Canis lupus familiaris: one gene and its partner. The protein of the gene in region 1 interacts with the protein of each later gene in a biochemical or structural test. Links are inferred from orthologs where the notes say so. Each region holds a gene or a part of one and is shown on either strand. Other genes may lie near its edges.

The links.
Region 2: the proteins of TOR1A (region 1) and TOR1AIP1 form a complex in vitro, tested with the Homo sapiens proteins (2 studies listed by BioGRID and IntAct). The link is inferred for Canis lupus familiaris from reciprocal best matches to the Homo sapiens genes TOR1A and TOR1AIP1.

What each region holds. Positions count from the first base shown.
Region 1 is NC_049230.1:54,105,994-54,110,514, forward strand, and holds the start of TOR1A (torsin-1A), read left to right. Parts: upstream 1-1,690; 5' UTR 1,691-1,748; coding exon 1,749-1,926; intron 1,927-2,343; coding exon 2,344-2,609; intron 2,610-3,918; coding exon 3,919-4,094; intron 4,095-4,191; coding exon 4,192-4,319; intron 4,320-4,521. UniProt on the Homo sapiens protein: Protein with chaperone functions important for the control of protein folding, processing, stability and localization as well as for the reduction of misfolded protein aggregates.
Region 2 is NC_049228.1:13,320,750-13,325,195, reverse strand, and holds the start of TOR1AIP1 (torsin-1A-interacting protein 1), read right to left. Parts: upstream 3,067-4,446; 5' UTR 2,707-3,066; coding exon 2,226-2,706; exon of another isoform or gene 2,224-2,225; intron 495-2,223; coding exon 417-494; intron 1-416. UniProt on the Homo sapiens protein: Required for nuclear membrane integrity. Induces TOR1A and TOR1B ATPase activity and is required for their location on the nuclear membrane. Binds to A- and B-type lamins. Possible role in membrane attachment and assembly of the nuclear lamina.

The DNA of each region.
Region 1 (4,521 bases):
GTTTGCTTCTGTTCTATTTGCTAGCAGACCATTCCAAAAACAGACAGTCCTGCTGCTTACCTGCTGGATTTTTCAGGCACTGCATTTATAACCTTCTGAAACAATGTGTAGTTTCCCTATTTGGGGACAAATTCTATTCTTGTGAGCGTTATTAAATCTTGTTTGTAAATATGTTGACTTTCTCTTAATATTGGCCCTGAGTCTGGAGGAAACAGCTGTTCAGAGTGAGATAAACTCTTTAGGTTGTGCTGCTAATTATTATATATGCAATCGTGTCTTCTACTTTCAAATACCTGGAGTTCAGAGATACATCCTTCACTGTTTATGATGGATCCACCTGACAGCAGGAAAATCTAGGATGGGATCAAAGGGACACTGATATTTTTTGACTTTTACAGTCACCTGTTTTCACTAAGAAAGAGAAACAGTTTCTATCATTTTTAGGACTTAAGTATTAAATATGAAATGAATCCAACCTTCTTGTTTGTATTGTGTCTCCTTATACTAACACTAGGTAATGTGTTGTGAGCCTGGAGGTGGGGGTTGGTAGCTCAAAAGCAAAATTTGTTTACTGAGAGATTTTCTCTTCGAGTTTAAAAGACTTCGGCAGGCTCCAATCAGCTGGCTGTTGGGGGCAGTGCCCCCTGTGCTTTCATTTACCTGAGCACTTATACAAGTTGAGATGAGAAAAGAGCCAGTTTGGTTGACCTTTGGGCTGATTTTTAGAGTGGATGTTGTGGTTAGAGACTTTGGCTTGGAGTCTGAGCTGAGCCCTGTTCACAGCCTATTTTGCCCTTGGACAGATCTCTTTCCCTCTGAGCTTGTTTTCTCATCTGTAAAATGGAGACAGTGTTTTATTTTTGTATTTTTTCCTCCATTAAAATGCATGGTCAGTGAAGGCAGGAATCACATCTACCTCATTTTCTTAAATCCCCAAAGTCTAGTCCATAACCCGACACATGGGGAATCCTCAAAACCCTGAGTGAATGAGTGTAAGTAATTTTTCTGGAGAAATCTGAGGAACACGACCTCATCGAGGTGGTGAAGGTCAATAATAGTCATAAATCATGTTGCTGTATCATTCATATCATGTCATGAAAATAGCACCGTACCCACATCTAGAATGTTCCTCCCCAACGCTGTTGTCCCCAGTCTAATAATGAGAAAAACATCCCATCCCAACAGCGGGGTATCCTACAAAAAATTTGACCAACACTCCCCCAAAACTGCCAAGGTCATCAAAACCAAGGAGAGCTTGAGAAAGTCTCAGCCAAGGAGGAGACTAAGGAGACATGAGAACGAAATATAATGTATCGTGGATGGGATCCTAGCTCAGATACAGGACGTCAGGTAAAAACTTAAGGAAAACTGAACAAATTTTAGTTGTATCAATATAGGTTCATTATTTTAAATGAATATAACATACTAGTATGTTAATAAGAGAAATTACGTGGGAGGGCATACCTCGCTGTACTTACTCAACTTTTCCATATAGCTAAAATTGTTCCCAGAAAATAGGCTTACTTTTAAAATAGTGCCGCCCCCACCCCCGCGGCCTCCGGCGCTCAGGTGCTCGCCTCCCGGAAGCGGGAAGAAGGTTCCGCCCCACCCCGCACAAAGATGGCGACACGAGGAGGCCCGCCCCGCACAAAGATGGCGGCCGCGTCGGGGAGGAACCGGAAGCGCGGTCTGGCCGTAGCGCCGGTCCGCGGCAGCGCCAGAACGCGCGGGGCGGCGCGGGTCCGGGCATGAAGCTGGGCCGGGCCGTGCTGGGCCTGCTGCTGCTGGCGCCGTTGGCGGTGCGGGCGGTGGAGCCCATCAGCCTGGGACTGGCCCTGGCCGGCGTCCTCACCGGCTACATCTACCCGCGCCTCTACTGCCTCTTCACGGAGTGCTGCGGCCAGAAGCGGAGCCTCAGCCGGGAGGGTAGGGCGCGCGGGCGGCCGCGGGGCGGGGCGGGGCCGGGCCGGGGGATCGGGGGCCGCAGCCGGAGCGGCTCCCGGCCACGACTGGGGACGGGCCAGCGTTGGTCGCAGACCCGAGCAGGCGGGCTGCGGGCCGGGCCGCCTCCTCCGCCGAGAGTTTCGCTTCTTCCCAGCTGGGGCGGGAGGGGTGGTGGGAAGTGTCCGGGCGGCCCCCTCCTGCGCGGCGGGGCGGGGCGGGGCGGGGCGGGGCGGGGCGCGGCCTCCAGCCTCCAGCCTCCAGCCCCCCGCCCCCCGCGGCTCGCCGGGTGCTCCAGCAGCTTCTCCCGCCTCGCCCGCGGCCCCACGCGCCCTGTACGCGCCTCGGCCAGCTCGCGCCAGACACAGACACCCCCTCGCTGACTAGCTTTGTTTTTCCCAGCGCTGCAGAAGGATCTGGACAGCAAGCTCTTTGGACAGCATCTCGCAAAGAAAGTCATCTTAAATGCTGTGTCTGGCTTCATAAGCAACCCGAAGCCGAAGAAACCTCTCACCCTTTCTCTGCACGGGTGGACGGGCACGGGCAAAAATTTTGTCAGCAAGATCATCGCGGAGAATATTTACGAGGGAGGTCTGAACAGTGACTATGTCCACCTGTTTGTGGCCACGCTGCACTTTCCACATGCCTCCAACATCACCCTGTATAAGGCAAGAGCAGAATTTTGGAATCCTTCCTGGATGATGCAGGGTTGGGGGTTTCTTTGTTGTGGGGTAGGATTTGGGGATTGTGAGTTAGAATGAGTGAGCCCTGGGCAGCCCCGGTGGCACAGTGGTTTAGCGCCGCCTGCCTCCAGCCCGGCGGTCCCAGGCCTGGAGACCCAGGATCGAGTCCCACGTTGGGCTTCCTGCATGGAGCCTGCTTCTCCCTCTGCCTGTGTCTCTGCCTCTCTCTCTCTGTAACTATCATAAATAAATAAAAATTTTTAAAAAATTAAAAAAAAAAAGATTTATTTATTTATTCAGAGAGAGCGAGAGAGAGGCAGAGACACAGGCAGAGGGAGAAGCAGGCTCCATGCACCGGGAGCCCAATGTGGGATTCGATCCCGGGTCTCCAGGATCGTGCCCTTGGCCAAAGGCAGGCGCCAAACGGCTGCGCCACCCAGGGATCCCTAAATAAATCTTTAAAAAAAAAAAAAAAAAAAAAGAATGAGTGAGCCCTGAAGACGTCTACACGTGTGGGTTCCCCCTTTGAAAGGTGTGGAAGTTAGGAGGGTTTGACATGTATGGGGCGGTTATACCATCCAGGCTCTGCGGTGGTTGCTGAAAACGGCCCGGTATGATTCTCAGTCCAGTAAGTGGGGTTAGAGGTGAATGTCATTACGTCCAACCTAAGGAGCATCACATTTCACTCAGTGTGTAAAAGAGGACACATTTCTAGAAAGGCCTAAGGCTGTTTAGTTGAAGTGTTACAAACTGCTTTTACGGTTTAACTCACTGATTAATAACCTGGACTTTGGCGGCAGACACACCAGGTTGTGAGTCCTAACTCTCCCACCTGCCAGCTGTGTCATCTTGGGACTGAAGAAGCCTGGTGTGCACACAGGATACGTATTAACATCGCCATTTTAATGAGAAGGACCAGCAATTCAGTGACACGGCATCACTATGATATCCGCACAGCACAGGAATTATAATCAACGTGGGGCTTTGGAGTCAGGCAGGGCAGGGTTCAGATCCCAGCTCTACCACGTACTAATTTTGTAATCTTGGGCAAGATGATGAAGCTCTGTACCTCAGTCTCCTTATCTATAAAATGGGTATGATAACATGCGCTGCATGGAGTTGTGAGGAACCAAGGAGCTTGTGTGTAAAGTTCTTAGTACAGTGCTGAGCACGCAGTGAGCCTTCCGTAAACACGGCCATTGTGGAAACAGTTGTAGCGTTGACGCTTATGCCAGTTGTTTTCCATTGTACTTGCTGAGAACTTTGTGTTGGCTTTTCCCCTTTGTCACTCAAGGACCAGTTACAATTGTGGATACGTAGCAACGTGAGCGCCTGTGCCAGATCCATCTTCATATTCGATGAGATGGACAAGATGCATGCCGGCCTCATAGATGCCATCAAACCTTTCCTAGACTATTATGATCATGTGGATGGGGTTTCCTACCAGAAAGCCATCTTCATATTTCTCAGGTAAGGTCCAGGCCGGGACATGATTGAAGAACCCTGAGCCCAAGTCCGTGGGCTTCGGAACAAAGCCCAGTCCTCACTCACCGGCATTCTGTTGCAGCAATGCTGGAGCAGAAAGGATCACAGACGTGGCTTTGGACTTCTGGAGGAGTGGAAAGCAGAGGGAAGAGATCCGGCTCAAAGACATGGAGCCGGCCTTGTCTGTGTCAGCCTTCAATAACAAGAACAGTAAGTGCCCGCTTTTACTAACCTCTCTCATTCATGACTCTCTGTCACTAAGCTGTAGATCATTGGCATCACCGTGGCCCGGGAGCTGGCTAGAAATGCCACTTCTCAGTCCCTTCTTCAGACCTACTGAGGCAGAATTTCTTTTTTTTTTTTTTTTTTAATTTTTTTTTTAATTTTTATTTATTTATGATAGTCACAGAGA
Region 2 (4,446 bases), on another chromosome or scaffold:
GAGTTATGTGAATGAATTACCTTATACAAAGTGGCTGGTAATTCATAGCTATCAAGTATTCACCCCATCTTTTCTTGACATATGCCTGTATGGCTTAATTCAATAAATAATCTATAGAAAAGATTCACTGGAAATCTGGGTAAGTTATGATTTGGGACCCTTGATGAATCAGGCTATAATGTGTACATAAAAAAGAGCAGCTGGGACACCTGCGTGGATCAGTGGTTGAGCATCTGCCTTCTGCCCAGGAGTCCCGGGATCCAGTCCCGCATCAGGCTCCCCACCAGGAGCCTGCCTCTCCCTCTGCCTGTGTCTCTGCCTCTCTCTCTGTATCTCTCATGAATAAATAAATTAAGATCTTAAAAAAAAAAAAAAAAAAGCTGGCAGATAAGGCAAAAAACAATCGCTTTTCTTACCTGGAGTTTCTTGTATTCTCTGGATAGTTTTCTTCGGGACTGCTTGGCTTAAAATAGTTTGTGTAGATGGTTCATCCTCTAAAGAACAGACATTACATATGTCAAAATTCAAAACAGATTGACATTTGGGTCCAGATTATGCACCCTAACAGCAATATATAAACAGAAAGGCAAGTAATTCTTTAGAAATGTGTAATTAGGTCCACCAAAACTACTACTCTTAAAAATATAAACTATTCACCTTTGATGCTTTATAATAAAACCATATTAATTTAGAAATTTAAAAGATGGTCCAGAGTTTCAGAAACGTCGAAGAAAGCAGAAGTGTGCAAAATGTTTAAGATCCTTATAGATTTATTAAAACAGAAGTAAATCCTTTATGTATTAAAAAAGTCAGCTTCTATAACTGCAGGAGGATCTGTGCCAGAGTCAATACAATGTAACCTATTTGTTGCCTATCGTCGGCAAAGCGCTCTTCAGATACTGAAGGAGATGGAATTAACTTCAAATAGGATGGGATCCTTGTCCTCAGTAAGTTTCTAATTCTAAAAGAGAGATAGAACATACACATAGGCTAAAATGTCTGGAGTAAGCTCCACCCCATATTAAGTTAACATTTTCTTTAAAATAAAGTTTTCAAAATCAAGGCATCTTCAGATGTGTCAGTGCTGCATGGGTCAGCAGATACGAGCGTTGCCTACAGCTCTGCTGCGAGCTGAAGGTCCACTTCCTTCTTCCTATCTATCCATGGTCTACCACTAAGGATGCAATCACTTTGTGATTCAAACCCCCTGGATTTTTACCTCATTGGTGCCTTACGTGGGCCTCCCACGAAACTACACCCGTGATTCAGATAGGGGACAGGGAAGTGGGCGGGAGAGGATGGCTCAAGGGAGTTGCTTCACCTGTGCCTCACCTAATCCACACGCTCACTTTGCCAACATCCTTTCGGCCCATTTAGAGGAAAACTAACTCAGAATCTTCCTTGGTCAAGCTAAGTAACCCATGAGGTTGCATCGAAGCCCGCCCCCCCCCCCCCGCAAAAAAAAAAAAAAAAAACAAACACGTGGCGATTTTTTGCAGAGACCACCCTGCTTGAGAAAGAGCGATCAGCTCAAGTTTATCAGGCATTAGGGATCTTCAAGTTCAGGATAACTCGCCTTACCCCCACCTCGGTAGAAGTATTCGGGTGGGGTCTCAAGTCCATTTAAAAAACGGCGCGCTCCCTCCAAACGCCCACTCACCCAATTTCTCCCTCCTCCTCCCCCGACCTCGGTAGCGATGGAGAAAAGCCTGGGAGGCTACCCGAGAAGCATCACTCTCAGCTGGGGACTCGTGGCCTCTGAGAGTTAGAGGAAATGGAAGTGGCTTTGGTAGCAACATCCGCAGAACGGAGGGAACCGAAGTGAAAGCGAGCCTGGAGTGTCTCCCTGCCCGCTGGCCCCCCGAGCCGCCGTCACCCCCCTGCCCCCCGCCAAGGCCTGCAGAGAGAGGCGAGCCGGAGCCCCCTCCTCCCCCGCAGGCCGGTGCCCGGCGAGGCGCGGAGCTCGCCGCTCAGGTCGCGCCCCCGAGCCTCTGCAGCCCTCCCGCCTGCGTCCCCGCCCCGCCTGCGGGCGGTCGGGCGGTCGGTCGGTCGGTCGGGGGGCCCCCGCGCCGCGAGCCCCGGGAGCCCCGGCGGGATGAGCTGCGCGGCGAGGGGCTGCGAGGGGCTGCGCCGGGACGCACGCGCACACGCCCCGCCCCCGCCCGCGCGCTGCGCTCGCCCCCCGGCTCGCCGCGGACACTGCTCCCTCCGGCGGCCTCACTCACCGTCAGACGGATGAAAGTCCCGTAACCCTCTCCTGGTCGTCACCGGAGACGGTGACTGCTGCTGCTGCTGCTGCTGCTGCTGCTCCTGCAGGCGGGTCGCCCTTCGCGTGTTCATCTCCTCGGCTCCTTGGAGTCGCGGCTGCCTCCGCTGCCGAGACCGAAGGTAGTAGGCGCTTCCTCGCACTTCCCCTTTCGCAGACTCAGGCCGGAACTCTTCTAGCGAGAGCCGTCTTCTCCCCGGGGACTTTTCCTTGGCCACCGGGGGCTCGAAGTCGCCGTACACTTCTGGCGGCTCTTCCGAGAACCTCACTTCCCGCCGGCCGTGGCGCGACGGCGAAGGAGTCCCGTACGCAGGCGCGTCACTGCCGCCGCCATTTTGAGGGGCGAGCCGGCGCCTTCCCTCCCGTAGGGGGGCGCGGGGTGTGACGTACATCCGCCAGCCTTCCCTCCCCGGCTCCGCCCGCCGCCCGTCGCCCGCCATAGTTGTTGACGTAGCTTGAGGCGATCGCGAAGGTGGTTTGCGGAGCGGGGGGGCGCGTCGGTCGGTTCTCCTGGCGTTGGTGGCGATGGCTGTTGCGAGGGTGTGGTTGCGGCGGTCAGGGAGGCAGTTGAGAGGCGCCGGGGCCGCCGCCTGCGTCGTCGCTGCCGTGCTGCGAAGCCGCCTCTGGGCCCATGGCTTGTCCTGAGGGCTGTGGGAGAGGCAGTGCCGATGCCGGGTCAGCTGCTGCGGGTCACTCCCGCCTCCTGGCTGAAGGCACCAAAGAGGAGGAGAAGCGGGAGGACGACGTCGCTGTCCTTGGCCTGGGGGGAGGGGACAGCCGGCAGCGCGGATTGCCTCCCCGGCCCCAGCGGCTCCGGCCGCCGCTGCCCGCACGCGGGAGGCGCGGGTGCTGCCCGCCGCCCCCGAGCCCCCCGGGAAGGCCCGCCGAGCGAGAGTCGGGTGCCCAGCTTGGAGTCCTCGCCGCCCCGGAGTCGTTCTGATTTGACCGCTGCCTTAGCCCTGCCTTTCCAAGTGTTTCTATAGGAGTCTTCATGAAGATAACTTCTGCCAATGCTGCCTTTTCCTGGGGGGAGGCGGGTGGGGGGGGGGGGTGGAAAGAAATTGTGGGATTTAATTCTTCTCGGAGAAACTGCTGCGACGATCGGTACACTGAGTGATGCCTGGCCTTTCTTTAACGATTTCTTTTATAAGGTGCCTGTTACTGTGGCTCACTCTTAAACATCATAAAAGCCTCATAATGTCATCATTAAAGGATGTGAACCTTTGTAGTGCCGATGTGCAAAGTGCACGTTATGAACGTTATTAGCGCATGTTAAGGGATCTCTTTAAAACATTAACCGGTGCAGTTTTGTGTGTGTGTGTGTGTGTGTGTGTGTGTGTGTGTGTAGAAGCTGGGCTACAAACTTGCGGAACTCCGGTTTTTGGGGACATCTTTAAAAAGAAAGGACAAGCGGTTCTACTACGTGTTGCTGAGCAGAGAAGATGATGTTCGTATTATTGTGAATAGTCCGTTCACTGCGTTACACAGGATTCTTGTAAAGGCTCAGGAAGGAAACTTACGGGTTTGGCTTTCCCAAGAAACAAATGAGGAATCTCGAAATCAGAGGCACGATGACTTTAACACCTACATATTGCTTAGGGTTTTCCCCCTCTTTAGGTAATAAGAATGCATAATTCTAGCGCTGCCGTTCCTGCCTCCCACACCTAGCAACGTTACAAATACCAGCCCTGATCACTTTAACTTTGAGGTAAAGCTAAACTCTTGTCAAACCAGATTTTCTGCTGTAGATGTTTTCTAAACTCTAAGGGTGGCCCCAAAGACGTGACGTTAGAGGCAGTGGATTCGTAGCCAATAGCGTAAGAGGCTTGCAGGTCATCAGTACCGGGAAGAGGCATGAGCTCTGGATGTTAGACAATTAGTTTGGGAATTTGAAAAATACAGAGGAATTAAGTGGATCACAAGACAGGTAAGAGAATCCAGTACCTATACCTATGTTGGCACAGAATAGGTGTTCGATAGATGTATACATTAAGTTAATATGTATTCTTTACTCTTAGGGAATTTGCCTTTTATTAGGGAAAGACCTATACAAAAAAATCAGATTAAATGGCTGGCATCAATTTATATACTTAGCTGTTGTGCCTAGGTCTAGAAATCCAGTGTTGGTGACACTGGATTTTTTTTTTTTTTTCCGATTTTATTTATTCATAGAGCCACAC